7 linked regions of the Ovis aries genome follow. The protein of the gene in region 6 binds, or shares a complex with, the protein of the main gene of each other region. Links are inferred from orthologs where the notes say so. Each region holds a gene or a part of one and is shown on either strand. Other genes may lie near its edges. The genes, in order: MED13L, MED26, MED8, MED31, MED7, MED20 and MED12.

Evidence for each region.
Region 1: MED20 (region 6) and MED13L share a complex: the UniProt entries of both Homo sapiens proteins name them as parts of the mediator complex. The link is inferred for Ovis aries from reciprocal best matches to the Homo sapiens genes MED20 and MED13L.
Region 2: MED20 (region 6) and MED26 share a complex: the UniProt entries of both Homo sapiens proteins name them as parts of the mediator complex. The link is inferred for Ovis aries from reciprocal best matches to the Homo sapiens genes MED20 and MED26.
Region 3: MED20 (region 6) and MED8 share a complex: the UniProt entries of both Homo sapiens proteins name them as parts of the mediator complex. The link is inferred for Ovis aries from reciprocal best matches to the Homo sapiens genes MED20 and MED8.
Region 4: MED20 (region 6) and MED31 share a complex: the UniProt entries of both Homo sapiens proteins name them as parts of the mediator complex. The link is inferred for Ovis aries from reciprocal best matches to the Homo sapiens genes MED20 and MED31.
Region 5: MED20 (region 6) and MED7 share a complex: the UniProt entries of both Homo sapiens proteins name them as parts of the mediator complex. The link is inferred for Ovis aries from reciprocal best matches to the Homo sapiens genes MED20 and MED7.
Region 7: MED20 (region 6) and MED12 share a complex: the UniProt entries of both Homo sapiens proteins name them as parts of the mediator complex. The link is inferred for Ovis aries from reciprocal best matches to the Homo sapiens genes MED20 and MED12.

The regions. Positions count from the first base shown.
Region 1 is NC_056070.1:58,647,681-58,651,792, forward strand, and holds the start of MED13L (mediator of RNA polymerase II transcription subunit 13-like), read left to right. Parts: upstream 1-1,312; 5' UTR 1,313-1,504; coding exon 1,505-1,576; intron 1,577-2,159; exon of another isoform or gene 2,160-2,558; intron 2,559-4,112. UniProt on the Homo sapiens protein: Component of the Mediator complex, a coactivator involved in the regulated transcription of nearly all RNA polymerase II-dependent genes.
Region 2 is NC_056058.1:6,189,194-6,193,248, forward strand, and holds the start of MED26 (mediator of RNA polymerase II transcription subunit 26), read left to right. Parts: upstream 1-1,255; 5' UTR 1,256-1,516; coding exon 1,517-1,588; exon of another isoform or gene 1,589-4,055. UniProt on the Homo sapiens protein: Component of the Mediator complex, a coactivator involved in the regulated transcription of nearly all RNA polymerase II-dependent genes.
Region 3 is NC_056054.1:18,067,155-18,071,120, reverse strand, and holds the start of MED8 (mediator of RNA polymerase II transcription subunit 8), read left to right. Parts: upstream 1-1,166; 5' UTR 1,167-1,188; coding exon 1,189-1,194; exon of another isoform or gene 1,195-2,283; intron 2,284-2,529; coding exon 2,530-2,648; intron 2,649-3,654; coding exon 3,655-3,799; intron 3,800-3,966. Other genes in the region: KICSTOR complex protein SZT2, read right to left, coding at 984-1,010. UniProt on the Homo sapiens protein: Component of the Mediator complex, a coactivator involved in the regulated transcription of nearly all RNA polymerase II-dependent genes.
Region 4 is NC_056064.1:25,119,335-25,122,474, forward strand, and holds part of MED31 (mediator of RNA polymerase II transcription subunit 31), read left to right. Parts: intron 1-2,970; coding exon 2,971-3,140. UniProt on the Homo sapiens protein: Component of the Mediator complex, a coactivator involved in the regulated transcription of nearly all RNA polymerase II-dependent genes.
Region 5 is NC_056058.1:66,400,747-66,404,889, forward strand, and holds the start of MED7 (mediator of RNA polymerase II transcription subunit 7), read right to left. Parts: upstream 2,801-4,143; 5' UTR 2,748-2,800; intron 2,357-2,747; 5' UTR 2,311-2,356; intron 1-2,310. UniProt on the Homo sapiens protein: Component of the Mediator complex, a coactivator involved in the regulated transcription of nearly all RNA polymerase II-dependent genes.
Region 6 is NC_056073.1:15,719,589-15,723,819, reverse strand, and holds the start of MED20 (mediator of RNA polymerase II transcription subunit 20), read left to right. Parts: upstream 1-1,431; 5' UTR 1,432-1,530; coding exon 1,531-1,544; intron 1,545-4,034; coding exon 4,035-4,189; intron 4,190-4,231. Other genes in the region: BYSL (bystin), read right to left, coding at 721-988. UniProt on the Homo sapiens protein: Component of the Mediator complex, a coactivator involved in the regulated transcription of nearly all RNA polymerase II-dependent genes.
Region 7 is NC_056080.1:63,840,805-63,844,304, reverse strand, and holds part of MED12 (mediator of RNA polymerase II transcription subunit 12), read right to left. Parts: intron 3,500-3,500; coding exon 3,272-3,499; intron 3,095-3,271; coding exon 2,950-3,094; intron 2,784-2,949; coding exon 2,663-2,783; intron 2,306-2,662; coding exon 2,204-2,305; intron 2,104-2,203; coding exon 1,990-2,103; intron 1,742-1,989; coding exon 1,566-1,741; intron 1,386-1,565; coding exon 1,206-1,385; intron 152-1,205; coding exon 80-151; intron 1-79. UniProt on the Homo sapiens protein: Component of the Mediator complex, a coactivator involved in the regulated transcription of nearly all RNA polymerase II-dependent genes.

The sequences.
Region 1 (4,112 bases), on a different chromosome or scaffold from region 6:
GAGCCAGGCGGGAAGGTCTGCTCCAAATCCAGCCCAGTAGTGTCTGGTAGTTTAAAAAATACATATATTTATATCCTGGCACAAAGCAAGAGGTCAGAAAGCATTTCTGCAACGCATGCATGCATGCGCACAGCGCCTACGAGTAAGGGATTAAAAAGGCATTTCTGGATTCAGAGCATAGTGCGTGGTACACAGTAAGCACTTCCTGGCCTAGGCTTTAAAATCTTGATGCAAGAGCTCCGCTTCGCTGTGTGCCTGAATACAAGGGTTCGAATCCCATCCCCTCCTCTTCCTAGGTGAGCGACCTCGGGTAAGTGTCTTAACCTCTTTGTGCTTCAGTTTTCTCATCTGCAAAACGCGGACCACGGAGTGAGACCTCGAGGAGACACCCCGAAGCACTTGGATCTGCTGTCTGGCCCATGGCGGGCCTCTGCCACCCAGCCGGCAGGGGCGATCGAGGGCACAGGCAAGGAGCCCCAAGCCCTCCACAACCACTGCCACCGGCGTTCCCGTGGCTCGCGGTCGCGCCCAGCAAAGATTCGTGCACCCGAGGGGGCGGGGCGCGGGGCGGCCGGCTCAGCGGCTGACTGCCCGCCCGCCCGCCTCGGAGCCGCGCCGCCCGCACTTCTTTCTCTCCCTCTGTCTCCGTCTCCCTCCCTCTCTCCGCCGGAGAATCCAGCCGCTCTCGGCTCAGCAGCGCCGCCAGCGAACAGTCGCGGCCGCCGCTCCGGCCCCTCCCCCGCCTCCTCCAGTCCCCCCCCGTGCGGCCGGCGCCCGTCACGTGACAAGGCGCCAGCCAATGGCGGGCCGAGCCGCGGTCGGCGGCCGCCATTGCTGTCAGAGCGAGCGAGCCCAGGGAGGGAGGAGAAGCGAGGCTGACTGGGGAGGAGGGGGGGGTGGGGGAGGAAGAGGAAGGAGGGGACGTCGCTCGGCTGCCGGGGTCGCCCGCTGGCTTCGTCCGCACCCCCCCCTTCGCGAGTTCGCGCTCCGCGGCGGCGGCGGCTCCGAAGCGGCGGCGGCGACTCTAGGGCTCGCCTCCCCTCACGCGCCGGCGGGGGCTGAGGGGGAGTCGGTGGCTGGAGATAAACAAGGCGGCGGCGGCGGCGGCTGAGGAACAGGGAAGGCGGAGGCGGCGGTCGGCCCGCAGCGCCGGCCCGGGAGGCAGCGGCGGCCCTGAGAGGCGGGGAGGGCGCCGGGCCGCGCGGACAGCGCCCCCCGCCGCCGCGGGAGCAGCCGCCGCCGCGGGAGCAGCCGCCGCCGCCGCCCGAGCAGGAAGGAGCCGCGCGGCCGCCGCGGACCCCCCCGCCGGCCCGGGCCCGCCGCCCCCGGCGCGGCGTCGCCGCGGCGCCTCTCGCCCGCCCGCCGGCCCTCGCGCCCTCCCCCGGCGGCGGCGGCGGCCGGGCCGCCCCACGCTCCCCGGCGAGGCGCCGCCGCCCGGCCCGGCCTCGCCTCGGACGCCTCGCTCCGACATGCCCCGCTCTGGCGGCCGGGCTCGCGGAGGATCATGACTGCGGCAGCGAACTGGGTGGCGAACGGGGCGAGCCTGGAGGATTGTCACTCCAACCTCTTCTCGCTGGTGAGTAGCCGGGCTGCGGGGAGGGGGCTGTGCCGTGGGGTGGGGGGGGGTCGACCTCCGCCACCGACCAACTTTCTCCTCCCGCCGCCGGGACTTCGCCCCTCCCTCGCCTCTCCCCGCCGTTCGCCTCTTGCCGATTCTCCCCCTTTTGGATCGTCTCTCCTTCGCCTTGGATCCCATCCAGTGTTTATTTGGCTCTTTAAAAATCATTTGTGAGCGCGGCGCTCGGCGTGGAATTTGCATGTGGAAGTCTCAAAGCTGCGGATTCTGGGTCGCACTTCGAACGCCCACCCTCTGTTGCAGTCGCACTCCCCTTCCCCTCCCTTTCCCCCTCTTTTCCCCCCTTAAATGTGGAAGGCTTTTGCCTTGTGTTGCCCGCGCCTGCGATAAGCAGCTTTTTTTCCCCCTTGTGTCGGATCGGCTGCCCGCCCGCCCGCCCGCCTTTTGAATTTTTTAAAAAATTCCATAATGACACCTGCAATTTCGCCCGAAAACAGTTGATTGAATGCGATTGTGTCAGTAAAGGACTCTTGCACCCGAAGCTCCGGCGATTGTAAACATCGACAGCCGCCTGCCTCTCGGGGCTTACTACGCTGGAGAGCCTTAAAGCCATTGCACCGAGCCGACGGAAGGTGGAGAAAGCTTTTTTTCTTTCTCTCCTCCTGTGTCTTTTAAAAACTGTTTTCTCTCTGCTCACAACGAATCCACACACACACACACACACACACACACACACACAAAGCAACAAGCTGGGCGGTTTGATAACATCGCTTTTATCTGTCTTCGCCTCTCTCGCGCTCTCTCTCTGATAATTGACAACTTTTCCTTCGGATTTGAATCGCCTGCCTTAATCTTGAAGCAGTTAGGGTGTCAATTGTTCTCCTGGAAGCCTGGCATCCGACGACGGCGTCTAGATTCATCGAAATTAAAAATGTATAGGGTTCCAGAAACTCTTTCCTGGCGGTGGCAGTGACATTTGGTGGTAAATGCCATCTTTGCTTTTTTTTATTGGGTCGTATTACCTAGCTCTGAAAACATTCACGTTGTTAAACCTGGCGTTTAGACTAATAATTGCAGTGCGTGGTCTTTAAATATGTGCTTTGTGCATGAGTAACTGTATGTATAGCTATGTGCCCGGGAGACTACGAATTTGTTTAAATATTGAGCAAAGATTTGTAAACAGATGTAAGGCAATTATGTTTCAAGCGTGGAATATAATTGGAAAATTGGCTGAACGGTTTGTTTAATTTAGACTTTAAAAAAACCCAACTTTGTTTAAGTGGTGTACCCTTTTTGGGGGACTGCCTTTAGAGAACATGCATTTTGGAAATTGTTTTCCGTAACCTCTGCTGTACATAGAGCTTTATTTCCTCTTAATCTTTGTTTACACTGGGTACATAATTTAGTGTTCAAATTGTAATTAGTTACATTTAATTAAGGGTAGCATAGATGCTTTTTTTTTTCCTTTTGAGACTAGTGGAGAAATACAAATTCTTGCCAACTTTTTAAATAGAAGCTTTATTAAATATATTTCATTATGCAGATTTTAAAAAATGAAGACAAGCGATTTTTACCTACTGAGACCGAGTGACATAGTATCTATGCTTTTACTGTAGTAATAGCAGGTCAGTTTTTTTCCTCCCAACATTTTTATTCGGATATTTAATCTTAAAATTCAGTTACAAGTTGTGATTCTCCCTTTCAGTCCTGTGATAACTTCCCCTTGCCTCCTCTTTTCTTCTCTCAGTCTTTCATTTAGTGTCACTCAGATTCTCAGGGACTTCCATAGGGTAGCAAACATTGACTAAGGGGTATTTAAATGGTTTTTGTTTGGTGACTGGTGACCGAGTTGACACTTTATCAGGAAATTAAAATAACCAAGTAGATCAGTATTAGTGAGGAGAGATTCCCCCAAATTACCATATATCATGCTGACTGATAATGGCTTGTATATATGTGGCTATTTTGTATACAGTACCTTTCATGTAGGAGTGAAAATACATGTGTAGCCAGTCTTCAGTATATATCATTTCTTTTTTTATCCTTTTTTAATTTTTTTAAAAAGCTTAAGAATGATAATGTTTCTAAAGATGTTTAATATTGTTTTGGAGAAAAAATTTGTAGGAGAGGATTCTGTGCTTTCTGACTTTCTAAAGGTTTGTGCTTAAACCAGGAATTCATTTTTGAGTATAGTTTTTTTAAACAGAATTATTCTTTAGGTAGCAACTTTGAAATGCAGAAATGCTTTTTTCTTTTTTGAAGAACTGTGTAATGTCTGTGTTCTCTTATAGATGGAGGTTGGATAGCCGGTTATTAAAAAACTGCAAATCCGTTAAAGAGCTACTGATACTGTAAATTTTTCTTGCTCCAAATTGAGCATTTTCTTGAAAATCAGATACAGCAGCAACCTGGAATATCAAAAATATGTTGCCTAAAATACATTGTATAGAATAATTAATTCCAAAGGAGATAAAATCATCACCTGTTCAGAATAAAGCATGTATTATAAAAACTCTTAGTACATAATATTAGCGTA
Region 2 (4,055 bases), on a different chromosome or scaffold from region 6:
TTCTCATCAGCTGCCTCTCTCCTGTTTTAAATGTAGGTCTTCCTGTAACAAGAAGAAAAGTTATTTCTCTCGAGGCTGCGGCTAATGATCCACTCACTCACCTGCCTTTCTTACCCGTTTGCATAACCGTATATGTAATAAGAGCTTCCACGGAGAGCCGGCAATGAAAGAAGGCAATGAGGAGGCGAGGGGCCAGGAGAAGCCCTTAGACTTGACATTTAACAGTTCTGGGTTTGATCGGTAACTCTGGGTGACCTAGGGCCTCAGTTTCCTCCTTGGTAAGGGTGTTTCAGTTTTCCAGCACCACCATGCAAAGCAGGGTGGGAAGGTCTTTTAAACCAGTGATTCTCAACAGGGGTCGATTCTACCAGCCAGGTGACCTCTGGCAGTGACTGGGGACATTTTTGGTCCCCTGCAGGAAAAGGGTGTTACTGGCAGAGACCAGGGATGCTGCCGAACATCTTGCAACGCACAGGACAGGCCCTACAACAGAGTGATCCAGCCCCAAATGTTACTGGTGCCCAGGCTGAGAAACGCCGGAGTGGACACAGGTTTGCAACGTTGGTGTCAACTCATGCGGCCTCGGGGCTTTCCTAGCTGCGGTAGCGGCTCCTCCGTGAGACACTTTGCTGTCTCATGTTTTGGGGATCGTAGCCCGAGGCGCTGCAGACCCCCGACTCGCACCGCCCCCTCTGGAGCGTCCCACAGCGCTCCTCAGTTGACCCTTCCGCGCACAGAATTACAACGTGGACGTCTGCCTCCTGGCCTCCCCGAACGCAGAGGAGCTGGGAAGGACCCCGGGGCGCAGGAAACTTGGCAGCTTCTCCCGCCCGCGATTCCCGTCATCTTCGTCAGAATGGGAAAAGCTTTTCTACCCTAGGAGTGAGGTCCTTCATCTGCCCTGTCCGCCCAGAGCGCCAGGGTTCAAGGACTCGGCGCTCACCTAGCGTTTCCGTCGGAAACCTCCTGCCGCCACCCCCTCAACCTCCAGGCTTGGGTGGGGGCGGGGCCTCCAGGCGGCGGCCGTTGCCCCGCCCAACCGCCTCCCAACGGCTCCCTGGGCCAAGCGGTGGGGCGGAACAGAGGTGGGGGCGACTGCGCCTGCGCGCGCATGCGTGGAGTCTAGGGGCGTGGCCTGCAGGTGGCCCCGCCCAGACTCAGCGTCTCTGCCCGCCCTATCTCCCAACCTCCTCAGCGTGGCGCCGACGCTGCGTGCGGCGCGGGTTACCCAGAGTGCTTCGCGCGGGGGTAGCTCACTGGAGTTTGGTTCTCGAGGCGGCGGCAGCAGCGGCGACGGCTCCGGCGGCTCCTCCTCCTCCTCTGGTGGTGGCGGCGCCCCGGGCCTGAGCCCCGGCCCCGGCTCACCTCTCCGTCACCCCGCGCGCCCCCTCTTTCCCCGGCGCCGCGGGGAACATGAGGCTCCGCTCCCGGAGGCCGGCGAGTGAGTGACCCCGGTTCCCCGCCTCAGCCCGCCCGCCCGCTGGCCCGGCCGCTCCCCCCCCGCCTCGCCCAGGCAATGACAGCGGCTCCGCCGTCTCCGCAGCAGATCAGGGACCGGCTGCTGCAGGCCATCGACCCCCAGAGCAACGTAAGTACTCCTCACACGGGTTAAAGTGGAGGCCGCGTGGGCCCAGGACCCTCCCCCTCCCTAGTGCTCCTAGTCCGCCGGGCTCCGAAGGATCCCCCGGACACCCAGCTGCCCCTGAGGGCCGCTGCCATCCCTGTCTCTCTTCCCCCGGGCCCGGGCCGGGGGCTGGTCGGGCAGCCCGGCAGCGCTCGGTACGTGAGGCCGAGGCTTTAATGCGGCCTGGGCGAAGGGAGCAGATGGGAGCTGAGACTAGAGTTTTTCCCCCTCATCCACCCTAATTCTACGACCCTTGCTGTTCCTGACTGTGCTTGCCCACCTCGCCCTTACCATAGTACCCGCGACCCCCGGGAAGCCCTCCCGGCGGGGGGGGAGGGGAGGGGGAAAGGCTGTGAGCAACTGGTGTCCGGGGTAGGACTCGGGGAGCCCGTGCCGCCGGTGTCTCGGCCTTATCGATGAGGAGGGAAGTCTTATTTACCTTGCCTCCCGGCTGGAAGAACCTTTCTGGCTTCGAAGGGAGCCCCCCTGGCCTCCTTTACACCTAGCCGGGTGCCCAAGGCTCGTGGAGAGTCCCTTTCGGTTCTGAGAGTGGACTTGCTTCGCTGGGTCTCTCTTGGGGTCGCTGCCAACGGAAGATGATCTTGTAGAGAGTGGGATTCTTCCTATTACCTTTCTGGGCCTAAGTATTCCTTGCGTATCAGACCAAGGCAGAGCCCCGCTTTTGGGTAGTGAATTAGAGGTGATTATGTGCTCTCCCATTCCACCCAGAGCCCTTCTTCGTGTGCCCCCTACGTGGGGCCCTAGCCTGTTGGTTTGTGACCTAGACAGTCAGGGTTAACCCCAGGGTGTCGATTTCTCAGGTGCTGCTCCACTGAGGCTGCTGTTTGTGGAGGGATCTCCCCTGCCCTTCACCGTGTGTGTTGGGAAGGATTTATCTAATTCTCATATTTTCTCTGAGTGGTTGTCCGTGATAGGGGTTATTTTCCCTTGTGGCCAGAGCAGGTTCAGCAATGGCAAGATGTTGTAGCATCCAGGTATGAAGTGAGCCCCTGCATTTCCTGGGAGACCAGGAAGTGGCCATTGAAACCACTTTAATGTGCTGGGGATGGAAGAAATAAACCATCTTCGGCTTGGCCAGGTAACTTAGGTTTCTGTCACTGTGGGGACTTTTGCTTTTCCTTTACATGAGTTTTGCTGATTACTTTTAGCAGTAGGTTTTAGCCAGCACTGTGGGAATAATTCATGGTTGGATTGTACAAATTTGGTAGAAAGAGAGGAGTTGTGATCTTTATAAGACTGATTTCTGTATCATAAGTAATTCCTGGTCTTCAGGCCCCATGAAGATAGACTTGGTGGTACTTGTCTTTAACAAATGTTGTATACATTTTTGTTATGACTTTGGGGGTGGAGTAGGCACAAGCTATATAAAACCTTGCAGAATTTTTGCAGTAACTGGTGCTGCAGCAATTCCCAAGACTGAAAAAGTAGAGGATAAAACAAGTGAAATGAAAAATGTAGCCTTGATGACTTTCACCTCAGAGTGTAATTTCTCGAATTCCATGTGCTTGTTTGCCTTGCAGAGATTCTGAATGGTTGCTGAGATATTAGCACTGATCCTAATACCACCTAGGAGAGCTTTGGGATCAGGAGGCGCTTTAACAGGCAGTCACCATGTTGTAGATTAGGTGGGGCGGTGACCTCAGGGGTTCCAGTGTTTTGTAAGACTCTAAAGGGTTCCTAGGAGAACAGGAGGAAGAGGGTCCAAGCCCATGGATGTGTTCCGTATCATGGAGTGCACATTTCACGTGGCTTCTCTGGGACGACTCAGAGTCTTACTGATGTAAGTGTAGTGGATAAAATCGGGGTACTGTCTCTGAATATGAGTGATGAGAAAGTGCCTCCTTTAAATGCTGCTGTTGTCAGTGATGTTCCTGGGTGTTGTTACAAGCCATTTGACAGGAGTGTGGCTTGGAGCAAACTCCGCGGAGAAACTCAGAGCTGTGGAGGAATAGGTTGCCGGTAGAGATGGTGTGACCATATTTCTGCAGTTTCTCTTGATTGAACTGGGCCCAGGTGAGAGCTAGGTGGCTTCATCAAGGCATTGCCAGCACACAGCTGCTCTTCTCTGCCTTACCCAAGTAGAAACTCCACTTCTGCATAGTTAGTTGACACATATTTAAGATGCTCCTGGAAAATAAAAATGGGGACAGCGTTGAAGAGCCAACACTAAAATTAAACCTCTTTTGAGACAAGCGACTGAGAATTGTGTCATTAATGCTTACCTTTATGGGCATGCAGTTATGACAACAAACTTAACTTTTGCTTGAAAAGTCAATGTCAGGGAGCTGACTTAATATCCACAAGTATCTAAAAAGTTAGGGAAGTAACAAAGTAACATTTTCTGATCATCTCCCTGACAAAGAGAGTTCTTAAGAGGAAAGTTCTTTGCTCTAAATTCTAGCTTCTGGAG
Region 3 (3,966 bases), on a different chromosome or scaffold from region 6:
TCCTCAACTGAAAAATGGGGATAAGTGTCTACTGTGTAGGGTTGAGAGTAATCTTTGACATTGGTAAAGCGCTAAGATGGTCTCTGGGACACAGTAAGCATTCGATAGGTAAGGATTCAATACATGATTATACACCTCTCACCCTTCCCATCCACTCACATGTTCTCCTGTAACATTGGGCAACTCTCCTAGTGATGTTTTCTTTCCAAATCTGACATTTTAGACTTCTAATTACAAAACTCTGCCACTCCCCAGCTGAGAGTAGCACTTGGGTAAGGTACTTCACTTCCCTCGATTTTTAGTTTGTCTGTATATGGAAATGGGTATTGTCACCTTCCTTGCACAAGTCTGAACCACACAATGTATACAAAAGTTCCTTGCATGGTCCTTCGTACTTAATGGATGCTTCATTTGCATTTTCCCATTTAAAACGTGTGATCCTCACAATAGACCTGAAGATAGATATTTTACAAAGAAGGAAACAGGATCCGGGAAGTCAAGATTTGCCCAAAGTTGCACAGATAGCTACAGGGCAGCGCCAATACCAGAACGAGGTTTCACTCTGAATCCAACGTTTTTTCATGAAATCTAAGCTGCTCTCCAATTGCATGAGCGCTAGAACCTAATTAATTTATGCTGTTTATGGCATTCCAATAATATTTGAATGAGGCAGCAACCGGCAAACCTGCCCACTGAAACTGCAACAGAAGATCAAAATACAGATTTTCTGAATGCCATTACGAGGTCAAAGAACCCAAGAGCCCTAGAGTAGAGAATCGTGGATTAAATTTCGGCAAACAAAACTGAGCCACGAATTCCTCCTCTAGGCCTCCCCGAGGAAAGTAGGGGTGAGGAGATGCTACTATTGGGCCTTCAGGAGGGCCAGGCGGCCCCCAGACCCGGAGGAGGCCACGGCCGCGCCTGGCCGCCGGACCCTCCCCCTCGGATCTACAGGCCCAGCGCTGCGCCCGCCCGCCCCTCACCTCCGGCTCCGGGCGCTCCGAGGCCATCACACAGCCCTCCCGCGCCGGCCCGGGCCAGAGAAGATGCTCCGCTCCTGACCCCTGACCCGGAGGTCTCGCGACTGGCGGGGCCGGAAGTGAGTGGGAGGGTCGAGTTCTGAGCTTTCTAATTGGCCTACTTGGGAACCGGAAGAGGAAGTGATTGACACCGCCCCCCGCCGCAGCAATGCAGGTGAGGACCGGTTTGGCGCTAGCGACGGGTAGCTAGCTTGGGGTAACGAGACAGAAAGTGGGCTGGCCGAGGAGAGAGTGAGGAGTTAGGGATGAGAGGACTTGGTCGAGACCGCGACTGTGAGATAAAGGGACGCGCGATGGGGACGAGGACCTCTGGAGAGGGATAGGGGTGGAGCCCGGCTGACAGGAGACAGAAACTGCGGTTAGGTTGGGACGGAGAAGGCAGCACTGTCTTGCTAGGGTGTGGAAAAAGGATCAAGTTGTTGATAGGGTGTGGAAAAGGATCAAGTTGAAATTTGGGAAGGTGCAGTCCAAGGAAGACGGCTGAAGAAAGAGGTGGATTGGGCTCGGGCTCAGGCCCCGGCCTAGACGTTGGATGTTGACAGAACAGAGGATCTAACTGGAGAGAAGCCCGAGGGTGGAAGGAATTGTGGGACCGTGGTGGCCAGAAGCCAGACTAAATAATCTGAGGCCGTGGGTGGAACCCGGCTCGTGTCCTCCACATTCGGGGTTTTGCAGTTCTGTTTCATTCTTCCTAGTGTGTACCCCTAGTAGTTAAAGGGTGAAATGAGATAAAACTGGAGACCCCTCAGCTTTTAATATAGTTTGCCTAGTGCTTAGGGGCATGTGCGGTTTGGTTGCTGTTTTGTTTTGTTTTTCATTTGTCACTGTTTGTTGCAGAAGGGTAGTTGTCAGTACATTTTTATAGGTTGACTAAGCTTGCGAAAGGGGCACAGGAATATTGGCACAGCAATAAAGTGAGTGCAGATTGATTTAGCAAGGAGGAGGTTGAAACAGCAAATGCTGAGGGAAGAGGAAGGTGACGGTGGCAGTATTCAGAGGAGCCTTCCTGTATAGGTAGGTTTTCAGAGATTATGTCATTGCCAAGAACAGCCAGGTTCACAAGGCAGGTTCTAGAACATAGGACGTCAGAGTACGTCTGCTGCTGAGGTGTGCCGAACAGAATAAATCCCAGGCATTACGTCTGGTGAAAATTGTCCAGTGAGGGAGAACAGATACAAACCAAGCCTAATATAGAGAAACAGTCACGCCCGGATTAAAAGCGATGAGAGGAAGGAATCAGTAGGTAAGAGGAATTGAGGTCAGATGAATGGGTTTTAAGGTCTAAGGGTTGATGCTGTCTGTGATCCTAACTCCAAATAGGGGTGGAGCCCGGCTGACAGGAGACAGAAACAGCCTGACTGTCCCTGTGCCAATGAGATTCTGTGTCACTGTCCTGGTGTTGCACACTGTCACCCTGGCTTTTCAGCCTTCCTCTATATGTGTCATCCTTACACTCAGCTGAGTAACCAACCTATTCCTATTGGCTCAGAGGGAGGAAAAACAGCTTGAGGCATCATTAGATGCACTGCTGAGTCAAGTGGCTGATCTGAAGAACTCACTGGGGAGTTTCATTTACAAGCTGGAGAACGAGTATGACCGGCTGACCTGGTAAGAGTTGCCAGGGCAAGCTGGGGAGGGCTCTATGGGTGGGGGCTAGGCCACCTGCTGCACAGGGTACCTCCTCCAGCATTTATCACTTTGTGAACATCTTTTGATTTAGAAAGAGCTGGCTTTCCCAACATTTAACACTGAAGTTGGCCTTGGACCTCAACTTTAAGGGTAGTAGAGAAATGCCCAATTTCTCAACCCAGGTTCTTTCTAGCTTTTGATTCTCCCTGTTTGACTTCTCCAGGATGAGGTCCTCCTGCAGTGGGTCCTCCCACCACAGTATTCATACTGGATTTCTTGCACGGGTTTTGCCAAGTCTTTTAGGTCCAATCTAGGAAAGTTTGGATCTGGAAAGGGATCTTTCACCCGGTTTCTGAAGTTCTAGTGATAATAGTGTAGCCATCGTTCCTATTTTGCCATTGTCCTCACCCCATTCAAATGTAGTAGCTCCTCGTGATCTATCAGGGGTAAGTTCTAAGACCCACTGTGGATTCCCGAAACTATGATAGTACTGAATCCTATTCTGTATATACTGTGGGTTGTTGTTTTTTTTTTTCTATACTACTTGTGTGGGTACCGTATACGGTATGGATATGCTGGACAAAGGGGTGATCAACATCCTGGGTAGGACAGAGTGGGATGAAGCAAGATTTCATCACACTCCTCAGAACACCTCCCAATTTAAAAACATGGATTGTTTATTTCCTGGATTTATCATTTAATATTTTTGGACTGTGGTTGACACGGGTAGACGAAACCTCAGAAAGTGAAACTTAGGATAAGTGGGGATTGCTATAATGACCTGTTTTTTTTCTCCATCTGTGTCAGAAACTCAAAGTGTATCCCTCTTTCTTAACCCCATAATCCCTGCGAGCCAGTCTAGTTCCTGCCCAGGCCAGCATAGGGCTATGAGTGTTTTGGGGGTGAGTCTGGTTATTCCTAGTCCGAGGGACCCCTTTGAGGCTCCTTTACCAGGAACATGCTGACATCTTCTTACCACCACCAGGCCATCTGTCCTGGACAGCTTTGCCTTGCTTTCTGGACAGCTGAACACTCTGAACAAGGTCTTGAAGCATGAAAAGACACCACTGTTCCGCAACCAGGTCATCATCCCTCTGGTGTTGTCCCCAGACCGAGATGAAGATCTCATGGTAAGAGGAGGAGAGGGATGCAGCTTAGGAAACAAAGCCCTTAAATGAGGACTGACAGCACAGTGGTTGGTTTCTATCTAGAAATTTTGAATATGCAGTAGTGTGTGGCAATAAGTGGGGGCTACATTTTGGAGGCCTTGCTTTTTGTCCTTCTGTCCTATTTCAAT
Region 4 (3,140 bases), on a different chromosome or scaffold from region 6:
TGACCCTGAATTAATCCAGAACCAATCTATGCCTTCTTGAAGAATAACCATTCAGATATTTAAATTTAAGAGAGGCTGCAAATTAACTCCCATTTCATTTCTACACAAGGTTTTTGTTTAGTAGTTGTCAAAATTTAAAGATTGGAGAGTTTCATATTTTGATTCAGATTTCTAAGCTTCTCTTTAAAAATTTGGAAGATCTGATAACCCCAGGTCTTTGTTTTCCCAGGTCAGTCATTGGCTAGAGCAGAGCAGCAGCTACCTCTTCTAGACAATGTCCTCCACCATTTCACTAATAGCAACGACCTGCAGCTGTAATTTATCTCTTACATTCAAGGATTCACAATGTTGATTTTCTGGTGGCTCAGACTGTAAAGCAATGGCACCCCACTCTAGTACTCCTGCCTGGGAAATCCCATGGGCGGAGGAGCCTGGTGGTAGGCTGCAGTCCATGGGGTCGGAAGAGTTGGACACGACTGAGCGACTTCACTTTTACTTTTCACTTTCATGCATTGGAGAAGGAAATGGCAACCCACTCCAGTGTTCTTGCCTGGAGAATCCCAGGGACGGGGGAGCCTGGTGGGCTACCATCTACGGGGTCGCACAGAGTCGGACACAACTGAAGTGACTTAGCAGTAGCAGCAGACTGTAAAGCATCTGTCTACAATGCGGGAGACCTGGGTTCAGTGCCTGGGTTGGGAAGATTCCCTGGAGAAGGAAATGGCAATCCACTCTAGTACTCTGGCCTGGAAAATCCCATGGACAGAGGAGCCTGGTAGGCTACAGTCCATGGGATCGCAAAGAGTTGGACACGACTGAGCGACTTCACTTTCACTTATGTCAGCTAAAATCCTTCAGTTCTCATTTTCATCAGTGCTGTTAGTTGAGTTCTCCATTTATTTCTCATTTGTTTTTTAAAAAAATCTAAATGCAAACTTTGCTTTTGTATCTCTATTTCGTCTTGTTGGTTGATGCTATAATTGTCACCTATTAAAATATTTATAGTCCCTTATTTTGAGCATGGTCTTCTCCAAGTCTTATAAGTGATCACTGTATGTCTAAGTTCCAGTTATTGAGAAGTAGCATTTGCTACTTGAAGACAGTCCTCTTGGTTATCACATTAATTTATTTTACGGAGGAAGAAACTAATCCTTAAGAAAGGTTAAGTACCCTGTTCAAGGACACCCAGCTGTAGAATGGGCAGAGCTGGTTTCAAACCTAGGTCTTTGTTGATAGAACATCCTCATGAGAAGGAAATAGCTAGAGTAGATGTGAGTAGGGCTTTCCAGGCTTCAGTTCAGTTCAGTCGCTCAGTCGTGTCCGACTCTTTGTGACCCCATGAATCGCAGCACGCCAGGCCTCTCTGTCCATCACCAACTCCTGGAGTTCAATCAGACTCACGTCCATCAAGTCAGTGATGGCATCCAGCTGTCTCATCGTCTATTGTCCCCTTCTCCTCCTGCCCCCAATCCCTCTCAGCATCAGAGTCTTTTCCATTGAGTCAACTCTTCGCATGAGGTGGCCAAAGCTGCTGACAATTACAAGCAACTATGTATCTCTGGAGTATAGGAAGCAAATGTTCAATAAGGAAACATTGTGTTGGGGCCTGCTGTTGTCCTCAGACCAGCAGCATTGAATGCAGAGCTCAGGCTCCACTCCAGATTGATGACCTGGTTCAGCTGGTGGCTGCTAGTTTTCTCTGTATCAAATTACTTGTTCTTCGCTTTGTATTTAATGCCTATCTTGTGAGGGAATGCTTTGAGACGGTAAATATAGTGTTTCATATTTCAGTTTTTTACCTAACTTTGGCAATCTATGGAAAATACTTGCTTGAAAGCTTTTTCTGTGATTTTCTAATTCCATAATTCTTTATTCATTTGTTAGTTGAAATTCAGTTGTAAGGACAGAATATTTCCTTGTTCCTAATTTATTTATTCATTTTATAAAGTTACATCAGTATGGACTCCTGGATTCTTTATCTTATGGGTTATAATTATGTATCTTCTTGAACTAGTGATCCTGGATACAGCCAATGGGAACACCTTCAAACTGGCTCCTGTGTACTTTCAACAAATCCCTATATTTTTTGAGCATTTTTCTTTCTGCCACTATGTAATAGTCCAGGCTCATCTTTTACTTTCCCTGTGTTAGCCGTAGCATCAGCCACGTCTCCAACCAACCCTGGATAATACTATTTAAAATCCATGATCTGGGTACTCGGTGTGCTCATTGGTCCTGGAGTGTCATTGATTCTAGGCTCTCTCAACACATAAAGCTAGAAATGGGTCTGTGTGTATCTATTTCTATATCTGTGTGTGTGCGCACGTGTATAAAGCCATGAGTTCATCCTGATGTTTTCAGTTCCAACTTAATAACAGGATTCATTCTAGCCTTCCCCCTTCCTTATCTGAAACTACTTTTCTGAGAGCCAGAGGTTTGGCTTTCTGTTTATAGTGTATGTGCTCAACCTCTGAGTATATGTACATAATTTCAGAATTGTTATATCCCTGTGGGAAACAGGAATACAATATCTGCATAGTTTTTTCTGAAGTTGACTCACTTTTAAAAGCTGTCTTATCATAGTTTATGGAAAACCAATAGGTATTAAACACATAATTATGAAAATAAAGTGTTCCTATCCCTTACCTTGGAAATCACCGAAGAGAATAGTGTGATTTGCGCCCAGATGTTGACCAGTTATTGTGTTACCAGTTGACAGTAACGCTATTTACCAGTTACTGTGTGGTCTTCTGTAAATTATTTAATCTTTCCAAGCTTACATTTTCTCACATTTGAAAATTTTGCTGACTTTTGATGATTAGCTTTTCTGTATATGCAGGAAAAAAAAAGTATTACCAAAGTATACCAAGTTAATGTTACAGAAATGATAGAGTGCAAAAGCATGTTTAAGTGAGTTAACTAGAGCGTGGTATTATTATGTCAATCATTAACTTATAAACTTAACCCCAGGTACCCTCAGTGTTTACACATGTTAGAACTGCTCCAGTACGAACACTTCCGCAAGGAGCTGGTGAATGCTCAGTGTGCGAAATTTATTGATGAGCAGCAAATTCTGCACTGGCAGCACTATTCCCGGAAGCGGATGCGCCTTCAGCAAGCCCTGGCGGAGCAGCAACAGC
Region 5 (4,143 bases), on a different chromosome or scaffold from region 6:
TGTGACACAAGGAGCTCAACCTAGCGACAACCTACAGGGGTGGGATGGGGTAGGAGATGGGAGGGGAGTTCAGGAGGGAGGGGATTTATGTATACCTGTGGCTGATTCATGATATATTCATGATTCATGATTCTGATATATGGCAGAAGTCAACACAATACTGTAAAGCAATTATCTTCCAATTAAAAAAAGAAAAAAAAGGCAAAAAATCCCCACATATATGTAAAATAGCTAATGAGAAGTTGCTGTATAACATGGGGAGCTCAAATCTGGTACTCTGTGACAACCTACAAGTGTGAAATGGAGTGGGGGTCGGGGGGAAGGTTCAAGGGAAAGTTGACATATGTATACTTATGGCTGATTCACAGTTGCCAATTAAGCGATTATCCTTCAATTAAAAATAAATTCTAAAAAAGGATCCTATCCATATAAGACTATCAAGATTTCAAATACTCCATCACTTAACAAACAACACTTTCTATGTGGCAGGTGCTGGATTCCAGCACAGATCACACTCTACCTTTCAGCTTCTTCAGAGTGGTCATGCCAATTTTACAAGCAAGCTCTTAGCTAATCTGGCCCTGCAGGGAAGTCTTCTGCAGTGGAAAACATCCGTTGCCCTGAGGTCCCACTAAACACCATCACAGCCACCATAACACTCTAAGGTGGCAAGCCAGTATCACCAAGAGAATATGGGGAATTCTCATACACAACTGATAGGAAACAAATATGCTTACTTGGAATTAATGTGACAGTATCAAACACTGTAATGCTGATTTCTTTGACCCAACAATCCTTTTTATTATTTTATATTGAAGTATAGCTGATTAACAACACTGTTGCTGTTGTTCAGTTGCTAAGTTGTGTCCAGCTCTTTGCGACCCCATGAACTGCAGCACCTCAGGCCTCCCTGTCCCTATCTCCCAGAGTTTGCTCAAATTCATTTCCACTGAATCAGTGATGCTATCTAATCATCTCATCTTCTGCCTCCCCCTTCTCCTCTTGCCCTCAATCTTTCCCAACATCAAGGTCTTTTCCAATAAGTCAGCTCTTTGCATCAGGTAGCCAAAGTATTGGAGCTTCAGCATCAGTCCTTCCAATGAGTATTTATTGTTGATTTCCTTTAGGACTGACTGGTGACCCAACAATTCTATTTCTAGAAATTTATCCTACAAAAATATTGGTAGAAGTACACAAATCTGTGTATCAGGATATTTAATGCAGCACTGTTTGAAAAGAGCAGGAAAAGCTGGAAATAACCCATACCTTCATCCATACCTTCACCCATATGAGGCCTTGGATAAAATGTCTATATATACACAATATGGCCACTAAGAAAAAAAGGGGTGAAAGTACATGGAATGGAGGGTTATAAATACTGTGTACTGGTTCATTTATTTACAACACACTTATGATAGTTGCAAATAGTTATAACCAATGTTTTAAAACTTTCAAAAATTCAGACTTTTCAGTCTATGAATAATATTCCATATTCTTCAGATTCTTCAAATGTTAACATTTTCCCTCATCTGCCTTATTGGTCTCTCATCTCTTTATCTAAAATACTTCAGTGGGTAGACCCAAATAAGAATGTCCTCTTAGAACCACATAATTAACAAAATCAGAGAATTAGCAATCATCTGGTACTTCAAAATAAATTTCATACAGCCTAGGTTTCACCCCTTCAAGCCTTTTCAGATTGGAATTCCTGTTTTGTGCTTCCCAGAACCTTGTGTAATCCTCTACTTAAACTGCCAATCCCCAAAGGGCAACTAAATGACAGGTATCATTGTTTTATATTCTCTTTTACTTAAGCTTCAAACTAATTCTATGAGTTACTACTACTATCAATTTCATTTTAGAGATGAGGGTCCCAAGTCTGTCTCACCAAGAAGTATCTGTAACCAGATCAAACGGCCAGGAAATGGCATAGCAGGAACTCTCAACCTTGCCTGTTATGGTTGCACAGCACAAGCTCCTTTAAATCAGTAAACAATGAAGCATCTTAGAGTACAAATGGAAACTGACATACAACAGAAATCATGTTTGTTTATACCACTTCTCCAGACTAAACTTGTCAAAGGCAATGGAGGTTTTTCCTAAGACATGCGTCAAGCATCAAAGCTGATTATCAGACTCAAGATCATCTTCTAGTGTTTGTTCCGTTCTGACGGATTTAACCCAAAAAAGAAAGGTATTGTAGGGTCTTATCTCCAGACGTTCGACTCGTTTATCTACTGTAAACGGAGCTGCTGGAATGTAGCTTTAAAACCTCCCCAGAAGATCTAATGAATGACGCCTGGGACCTACCTCCTTCCCCGTCTCCCATTAAATCTTTTGATTTCAGGAATGCTCCCTGAGGAAGAAGGGCGAGACTGGTTAGGGACAAGGCCAGAGAGAGGCCAGAAGACGTGGCGAGGCCACACAGCTCGGTAAACCAGCGGAGCGGGTCTAGAACTCAGGTGTGCCAACCTCCGGCCGGGCTCGGCCTCCCCCCGGAGGCGGCCTAGAGCCCGCCGCGCAGAGGGTACCTTCCCACGAGAGGCCAACTACCCCCACCCACCCCTGACCCCGGCTTCGCGAGCTGCGGGGAAGGTCGCGCTCTCTGAGGAACGCCGGAGAGGAAGGCGGACGAACGTACTCAGCACCAGGCCTCCCCGGACTCCCAGCCCTCCCAAAGGAAGCAGCGGGGTCCGGAAAAAGAAATGTACGAGGAACTGAGGCCCAAGCCGTCGCCGCCCACTTACTTCAGCTCTGGGCTTACACTAGCAGCCGCCTTCTCCACCTCAAGCCGAAATCCAACTTCCGGCCTCCACTTCCAGGAAGAAGCCACTGATACTGTCCTTTGATTGGCTGGAAAGAGCTGTCCTTTAACCGAGGCTCTAGTCCCGCCTCTGTGACGGTTGGCTCACCGTTTCGCGGGCGCATACTCCCTCTCCCCAGCCACCCCTTTCCTCCTACCTTCCCTCTGGCACCTCCCACCCTTCCGTGATTCTGCAGCAGCCACAGGGTTTGGGGTCGCGAAGAATGTGTTACTATTAAAAGTAGCTATTCTTTGCTTTCTTTTTCTATTTTCCTGAATATTCGCTGGAAGGACCAATGCTGAAGCTGGAGCTCCAATACTTTTTCCACCTGATGTGAAGAACTGACTCATTGGAAAAGAGCCTGATACTGGGAAAGATTGAAGGCAGGAGAAGAGGGTAACAGAGGAGGAGATGGTTGCATGACATCACCGACTCAAAGGACATGAGTTTGAGCAAGCTCCTGGAGTTGGTGAAGGACAGGAAGGTCTGGCGTGTTGCAGTCCATGGGGTCGCAAAGAGTCAGACACGACAGCTATTTAATATTGTGAAAATCAAGTCAGTATTTGGATACCAATTATCTGAGGATCCAGTAAAGTCCACCCCTTTGTGACTGTCTGTATCAGTCTGATACTGGATGTATCTATTAATCATCTTTTAATCTGTAGTTTCTTTCCTCTACCTCATTCTCCCCCACCCACAATCAATTTATTTGTTGAAGAAGTTTGTTCACTTTTGAGCATACCCCAGTCAGGCTTTTCTCCATTGAGACCAATGTTACATAAATTGTGACCTCCAGTGGGCATTCTTTAGTCCTCATCTTGGTCTACTTTCAGCAGCATTTGGCACACTTGATCATTTGAATTGCCCCCGGACTGAGTTCTCCTCTTAATGTCATCCAGGTGATAATACTCAAGTGGTATCTAGATCCTGGCAACACCCTGTCCCTTGCACTCAGACCCTCTTAACCAACAGTATTACACATCTTTATTCGACTGCAAAGTCTCCAACATAACAGTTCATCTTCACTCCTCTTTCTCCCATACTCTATTCAAAATTAAGGTATCAGTCTTTTGTATTAGTTCTATGTGGAAATAAGTAAAAGTTCAAAATATTAATTTTCACCATCCGCACTGCCTCCATCCTCATCCATGCCACCATAATCTTCCCCTGACTTCTGAAATAACCCCCTAAATGTCAATAGTTTCCTTGCTTCCACTTTTGTCCTTCCTTAGCCTATTTAAGAGTTGGACATGACTTAGCGACTGAACTGCAACAACAACAAAGCCTATTTTATCATACTGTCTTAAAATATGACTGATCTGGCCACTCTTAAAGTTCT
Region 6 (4,231 bases):
CCTTCTCCGTTTGTGAATGCTGCTCACAGACAAATGAAAGATGAGTGTTGAGAAATGGATTAAGCAACTTGGAGGTCAACACTCTCAGAGTAATAACGAGAAAAATGACCATCTTTTAAATAATCTCGCTCCCTTTCTAGTCCTGAAACAATATTGTTCTTTGTGCTCAGAGCACTCCCTACTTTTCAGTTCTCAGCACAACGGTCATGCAACCTGGGAAACCTGACTCCCAAGACTAATGCTATTGTCAGAGAAGCTATACTTTATCACGAGTGCATTATTCTAATTGCTTACTTAATTCTTTCTCTCGGGCTACACTGGAAGATCCTGACGTTAGGTATACCTTTACCCTGTTTACAGTTTTTTATCTAAACCATCTAAACTCCTAGCACGGCGGGATGTGCGTAGTAGACATTCCATGATTACTTACAAAACACGTAAATAAATGCCAGGAGAACTTAGCGGCGTGAGTAACCACTTCCTGCTGGCCTAACCTCGGTGATGCCTATAAGAGTGCCACTCTAAGGAATGGGCGTGGAGGGCTCCGGCAACCCTCAATCTGCCCCAGAGCTGGGTCTCCCAACCCCATTACCTTTGCCAAGGGCCTCAGTTTTTTGTTGTTGTTGTTTTTTAATTCCAAGTTATTCCCCTGCCAGACACCTTTCAGCCGTCCGCCCCAGCTACCCACCCTCCTCCTCGTACCCCATCCCCCCCACTCACCCAGCCGCGTGGTGCGCTCCCGCGGCACCGCGGGCCTGTCCCCGCTCCCATGCTCGGCCTCGAGCTCCTCTTGCTGCTGCCGCGCTTGCTGCAAAATCCGTCGGGTCAGCCGGGGCCCCACGTACTCTTCCTCCTCGTCTCCGGTTCCGCGACCCCGCCGTTTTTCTCGGGCTCCTGCCCGCACCGCGTCACCAGCCAGGATCTGCTCGGCCAGCGGCGCATGCTTCTCCTGACCCCCGGCCGAGCGGGCCGCCTTGAACTTGGGCATTTTTCTAGAAAACCAAGCCGTGAAGTTTCCCACGTGGGTATGGAGGAAAAAAAGGCCCCGAGTGCGCTTGCGCGGTAAACACCCAGCGCCCGAGAGCCCACCGGAGCTCACAGCGCCCCCTCGCGTCTGGAGGCCGGGTGTGCCAGAAGCCCCGTCCCACCCCCCCCCCCCCCCAAAAAGAGCTCACGGGTCCTGGAGCTGGGTCCTCCCGAATTTAACGTTGTCTTCTCTAAGTGGTTGTAGTCCGAGATACACTTTCCTAGTTTCATGGATCTGGGTCCAGGGTGCCCAGGCGAATGGGAATTCCCTGACCGGCGAACCAGGGGATCGGGGGCGGGGCGGAGTCGGGCAGTGACCTCACCGAAGGACCCAGACACGCCCTTCCTCGTGGGCGTGTCGACTGGACGCTGTGTTTTTACGTAAGTTCCGGAGCGCCTGCCTCCATTGGAGCTCGCTTTAGCGAGGTGGTTTCTCCTCTTGTGGGCTGCTGGAGCACAGCGCATTTCACTTGTTTGATCCTCCCATCTTCCTGGCACGACACCATGGGAGTGACTTGGTAGGACTTCAGAGGACTTTGTGGGGCGGGGTTTGGGGACTTGAAGGCCCCTGGAGCCTCGAATATACCCGGGAGGAGGATCCCGACCAGGGTCCACAGTCCCCCGGAAGATGAGCAAAATGTCCTCGGATTGTGTAAGTGAGGGGGCCACCGCGAGGGCTGCAGAATCTGCAGGCCCCTTTCCTCGGAGATTCGCCCCTTCTTCCTGGAAGGCGGCAGGAAAAAGGGTTTAAGAACCCGTTAATGATCGTGTACCTCCTTCCTTTTTTCTTGATACAATTTCTTGACCGTGAAGCCTGGGGTAGAACTTTAGGGTTGAAAGTAGTATGTCGGGACTCGGACCCGTCTGCAGGCAGGGCTTGGATGGGTAGGGGATAGGCAACAAGGAGATAGTATCTTTTTTAGGTTTTTGCCTGCCCCTCCTTACAGCCACTAAATGCAGTTAGATCAGCATGTGTCTGGTTCTAGTTTGGCCTTTGTAAGATCTTGAGTCTGGAGGGAAAAAAGGAGCTGTTGGGAATTAGGAGATAGGAATTACAGGCACATCACCTCTTCAGGGTCTGTTTCCTATTCTGTTTAATTACCTGGTTGGTTTAGTTTTTATGGACTTATTTTAACACGTTATAAGTCAGTGTGGCAGGGAAAGGTATGGGCTTAATTCTCTTCGAGTCATTTAGTTCCAAAATGCTAGATTTCAGAGCTTTAAAATATATATATCTTGAGCATCTCTCCCAGAGAGGGCTTAGAGGCCAGGTTATCTGAAGGCAATGGCTCTAGGCTTCTCATGTAAGAGCCTGTGGGAATTCCTGGTAGCCCAGGTCTTGCAGATTTGTCAGTGACTGCACATTTGCTTCCTGAAGCTGGCATCATGAGCCTCCTTCAAAGTCCTGTAGTGTAAGAAGGGTGCGAAGAATGGGAATGAAAAGTTTGCTAGGGTCTTTCATGACAGTCCAGTGGTTAACATTCCACGCTTCCACTGCAGGAGGCACCTTCTACTTCAAGGGGCATGGGTTCAATCCCTGATTGGGGAATTAGATCCTGTATGCCTTGTGGCGCAACCAAAAAAAAAAAAAAGCATGCTGCAAAGAGGCGTGAAACCCTGGAAGTACCTGTTCTCTCAGGGCAGAAGGCAAGCAGGGAAAGGGCTCTCTCTTGGGATGCTTCGCAACTTTTTCAGGCTTCTAGGACTTCTGACCCCAGTAGCATCACCTTAGGGATTCTCTTATATTTCAAAATGAGGCACATCATCATCATTACTTGTTAGTACTTTTTCTGATGGAGATTAGAGACAGTTTTAATAACAGTAGGACTCTATAGCTTCATTTAGCCGATTTTGGTTGATCATAAAGTAATGCAGTGTCCCCCAACATTCAGCCACATATGATTCTACTTAAGATTTTTAAATAGCCATGTAGCACTTGAAATATTATTTATTAATGTCTTCTTTTAATTCCCTTTCTTTTCCTTAAAAGTATTTATAGCTGTATTCCTGGGGAAGCATTCTGGTAGAGTTAAGAGCGTGGACGTGGAGCCAGCTTGCCTGGCTTTGACTCTCGGCCACACCACACCAAGCTGTGTGACCTTGTGCGAGTTATTCAACCCCTCTGTACTTTTCTTTCCTCACTGGTAACAAAGAGATAATTGTATATCTTATGGGGCTAATGTGAGGATTCAAAGAGTTAGTTCATCGAAAGGTCTTTGGGCACTACCTGTCACATAGCTGGTCCTTGGTGATTGTTACCTGCCACTCTGTAAAGGGGGAGCCAGTTTCCCTCACCATAGAAGGAAATCTTGGAAATGACTTTTTGTTTCGTTGTTTTGGTTAAATTCGTGTACATGCTGTTTCCTTTCACGTCTGAGGATTAGAAATTTGAGGCTTGCTTTCTCTTTGGTCCCAGGAGCCTTAAAACTTTCTGCCTTGATGGAAATGTTCTGTATTAGCACTGCTCTCAGCCACTTGTGGCTGTCAAGCCTTGAAATGTGGGTTTTGCAGCTGAGGAGTTGAGGTTTTAATTTTTAATTCGTTTAAATGTAAATAGTCGCATGTGGCTTGTGGCTACTGTGCTGGACAGCTTGCATGCAAAGTGTTAAAGAGAGTAATAATAATTGGAATAATAATTCCAAGTTGAGGTTTTCTTTTTGATGTAGTCAAAACTGAAAGAAACGCAGAAGAAATCCCTTTCTCATTGTATGACTCTGTGTTACTGAATGCTCAATCTATGTGCCACCTAAAATCTTCTCTTGAACGTTGGCATACTTGCCACACTCCGTCAACGGAGGTGCTCTAAACAGGAAGTTCAAAGCACTGGTATGCGTCCTGAGACCTGCTCTGGTTCTTAGTGGAGTTCTCAAGAGACTGTGGGCCTCTGTTTCCTTCTTTTTAAACTGAGAAGGTTCGGTTTGATGGTGTCTGTGCACATACTGGCCCTGATGAGCTACGATTCTGCAGGCAAGTGAATGACTCATTGATTTTGGTCCTTTTCCTTCCAGTGTGTCTCAGATGCCCGTGGCCGAGGGCAAGAGCGTCCAGCAGACTGTGGAGCTCCTCACCCGGAAATTGGAGATGCTTGGAGCAGAGAAGCAAGGAACATTTTGTGTGGACTGTGAGACCTATCACACAGCTGCCTCTACCCTGGGCAGCCAAGGTCAGTGAGAGATGGGCCTGTGGGATGGCTGGAACCTGGTTT
Region 7 (3,500 bases), on a different chromosome or scaffold from region 6:
TAGGCTCTTCTATGGCAGCCCCCTTCCCTGACACATATTGTTGGAAGTGAGCATGAGAGAGGGTCTGGGAACCACTCACATTGTTAGGGGTCTGCTTGATCATGAGCTGTAGTTCCAACGAAGACTGGCGCATGGTCCACTGGTCCAAGTTCTGTGACAGAGACCCCATCAGCAATCTAGTCATCACTGTGTCATCCCAGACACTTAGTACTCTGATGCCAGCCCCTGATCTCTCACAACCTTGAATCACATATGCCTGGAGGTCTGAAAGGGCCCTCGACTTTCCCTCTTTAGGAAAAATCACACTTAAATAATCCAAAATGACTGAAAAAAAATCTATCCTATTTCAAAAGTGGTTTTGGAAAAATTTCACATCTTCCCCAGTTTCCTGCTCCAGAGCCTCACATTCCTCAGCATCAGGAAGTTCTGCTTAATGCTTAACTTAAATCTTTGATGTTGAAGTTGAAGCTCGCCACTCCTGTTTTCAAAGTCCTTTACAGACCCGAGGGCTAGTCTTAGTTAATCTCTCTGAGGCATTATCTTCTCTCAGCCGAAGAGGCCTCATTCCTTTAGGTTTCCCTCAACAGCTTTATTTTTCCACCCCCAGTCACATGAATGTCTGCAGCAGTGTGGCGAGGCAGGAAGGGTGCAGGCAGACCTGGGCTCCTATACTGACTCTAAACTTACCAGCTGCGTGAGTTACTGAACCTCGGGCAAGTTACTTAACCTCTTCAAGCCTCAGTTTCATTGATGCTAAAACAGGGATATTCATGCCTACTTCACAGGGTTGTAAAGACTAACTAAGGAAATCTACATGGAGTACTAAGCACAGTACCCAGCATGAAGCAGCCACTCAATAAGCAGTAGCTTTCCAACAGCATTACTACTCATCACTGAGCTACGATCGACATGCCAGACACATACGACCAAAATCTAGACCTCCCAGATGCTCTGTCTCCCACTGATAAGCCAAAGCCCTACTCCAGCCAGCTGTGTGCCCTCACCCAATGGTTCACTCTTGAGTCTAGACCATATTGGCTTGACTTCGAAACCCATGCTGGAGCTGTTTCTCTCACCACCTCTCACCATATCCTCATTCATCTTCCTACTTAATTCTCCCTCTCTTTTTCTCTCAAGGTTCCCATCATTTCACCCCAGGTTCAGGCCCTACCACTTCCTCCAAGACCCCCGTCACCTTGGCCTACCTGGAGAATACGCTTAATGCGTTGCCGCTGTGGGTTTTCCCCATCCTCGTTGTCCAGCAGCCGATGTGGGTAGCAGATAAGCTGCATGAGGCGCTGGGCCTGGGCACTGCTCAACACTGGGTCTTGCAGGTCATTGCTGTCTTCACACAGCGATTTAAGGCAACGTTCTCCTACCCATTCCTGAGGAAGCCAAGAATTAGGGGACTGGGCCAACCAGTGAGGGGGTTACGAATAAGGGGGATGGACAAGCGGTTGGTGAGGGACAAAATGTATGGCGGGGAGGTGGTGTGATCATGACAGGAAACAAGACTATATTATATAGCAGCATTGAAGAGGTCTGTGAGAGAAGGTGAGACTGACCTGCTGGCAGATGCTGCGTAGCACGTACTTGGCATAGACATCCAGACTGGCTGTCTCCACAGAGATGTTGCGGCCACCCTGCCTCCGACTGCCACTGCCACCTCCTCCCTCCTCCTCTGGAAGTTCTTCTGTTCCTCCTGTCACAGTGAAGCCCGAACCCTTCAGTTCCGCATCCCCTGCGGTTCACGGGCGGGAGATACGGAGTGCAAAGTGAGATCCCAATGCTGTGTGGAGACCTGCCCCAGAGCCACAGAAGCAGCACTCCCCAAATCCTGCCCTATGGGACAGAAATATACTTCCCTCCTTCCTATCCTCCAGAAAGGTCAGAGAGACCAGCTTTAGGAGAGAGAAAGACTGCCCTTTGTAGTTTAGCTGGCGCTCCACCCTATACACACTTTTGGCACCACTCTTCCTACCCCCATACCAAGTACAAACACAGCCTTGAGAACAGCAAACACAGCTCCATCCACGATGCGGTTCTGGGAGGCAGCCAGCAGGTGGCGGTCACAGGAGGAGCGGATTCCTACAGTAGGCTTGTCTGGTGGAGAGAGCTGAAGTCAGGGGAAGCCAAAGTAGAAACGGTGGGGGTAGGGTAGCCACACTATCCTTGGCAGGCTGGCTTGGATGGAGTCACTTACTTCCATCCGATTGGCAAGGATTGAGTTGAGGTGTCTTGAAAAGATGGAGGAGGATGCGGCAGGTAAGCCGGGCCCCTGGCTCAGAGTCCTGTTCACTGCAAGCTACAGAGAAGACACAGAGGCGGGGAAAGGATGAAGGTGGGCTATATGTGGGTTTGTGGGTGCTGAGGCACTAAAAAGGTGGCTGAGGTCAGGCAAAAGGAGATAACACATTGGAGGAGAGGTGAGGGAGCCAACTGTTCTATAGTGTAGAGGGGAGAACCTGGAAGGGTCAGGAACAGGAAAGACTGGGGATACAGGTGCAGGGTCAGAAAGAGGCCCCTCCCAGCCTGAGACACACAACAGAATTGGCTTCTGGTGCCACCAGGAGCCCCACAGTGAACAAGGAGAGTATAGCCATTGAGTGTGTATTGACATTGGGGGTCTAGACTTTCTACGGGTCACAAATTGGTAGTTTACCAGCATTAAGGAGTGAAGGGATGGCCGCACAGCGAATCAGATCCTCCAGGAGCAAACACTGCCGAGCGATGAGGATGGCAACAAAAGTGGCCAGGGAGTCGTGAAAAGACAGGTCACTGACCTGGAGGAAAAAAGCAGACACACACCAGGACTCAGTGTGGAAAGAGTTCTCCTACTCTGAGTGCTGGGCCTCCACTCTGCATAAAGCTGTCCCTCCGCTCTCACAGTCACTGGGAGCAGACTCCTGCCCTGGGGACTGCCCGGTGCGCCCCCACCCCCAGTCTCACATCTACATTGCAGAGGAGGTCGTTGAAACCACAAGTGCCATTGTTAGAGGAGCAGCACAAGGCCTTAAGCACTCCCAGCCACTCTGCACTCAGTGACTTGCAATAGCCGGTCAGCTCTGCACACAGGATGGCGATGTCATTCACCCTGGGGAAAAGTACAAATGCCCTCAGCAAAAAAACCTGTTCTGGCAAAACCTCAGACTCATTAACTTTTCATCTCCACCCCGGCTATAACCAAGGTTGTGGTACCTCCCGGGCAAGTCATCCCTCCCAACATCAGGCGGGAGCGTGGTGCCCATGCCTCACTCAGTACGCCCCATACCTATCCGAATCATGGTGCCCCACACAGACGTGCATAAGGGCATTGCAGACAAAGCTGTAGCGGTTAGCAGGGTTCTCACTAAGACTCTTGCCTAGCCCCGTGTAGGTGAAGGTGTGAGCAGCGGGGTTCTCTAAAGTGTCGTTCATGAACTCAGGTGCCCAGCGCATGTTGGACTCTGATGGCTCCACATTGCAGTAGATGGTGTTCTTCACCTTGGAGCAGAAGTCAC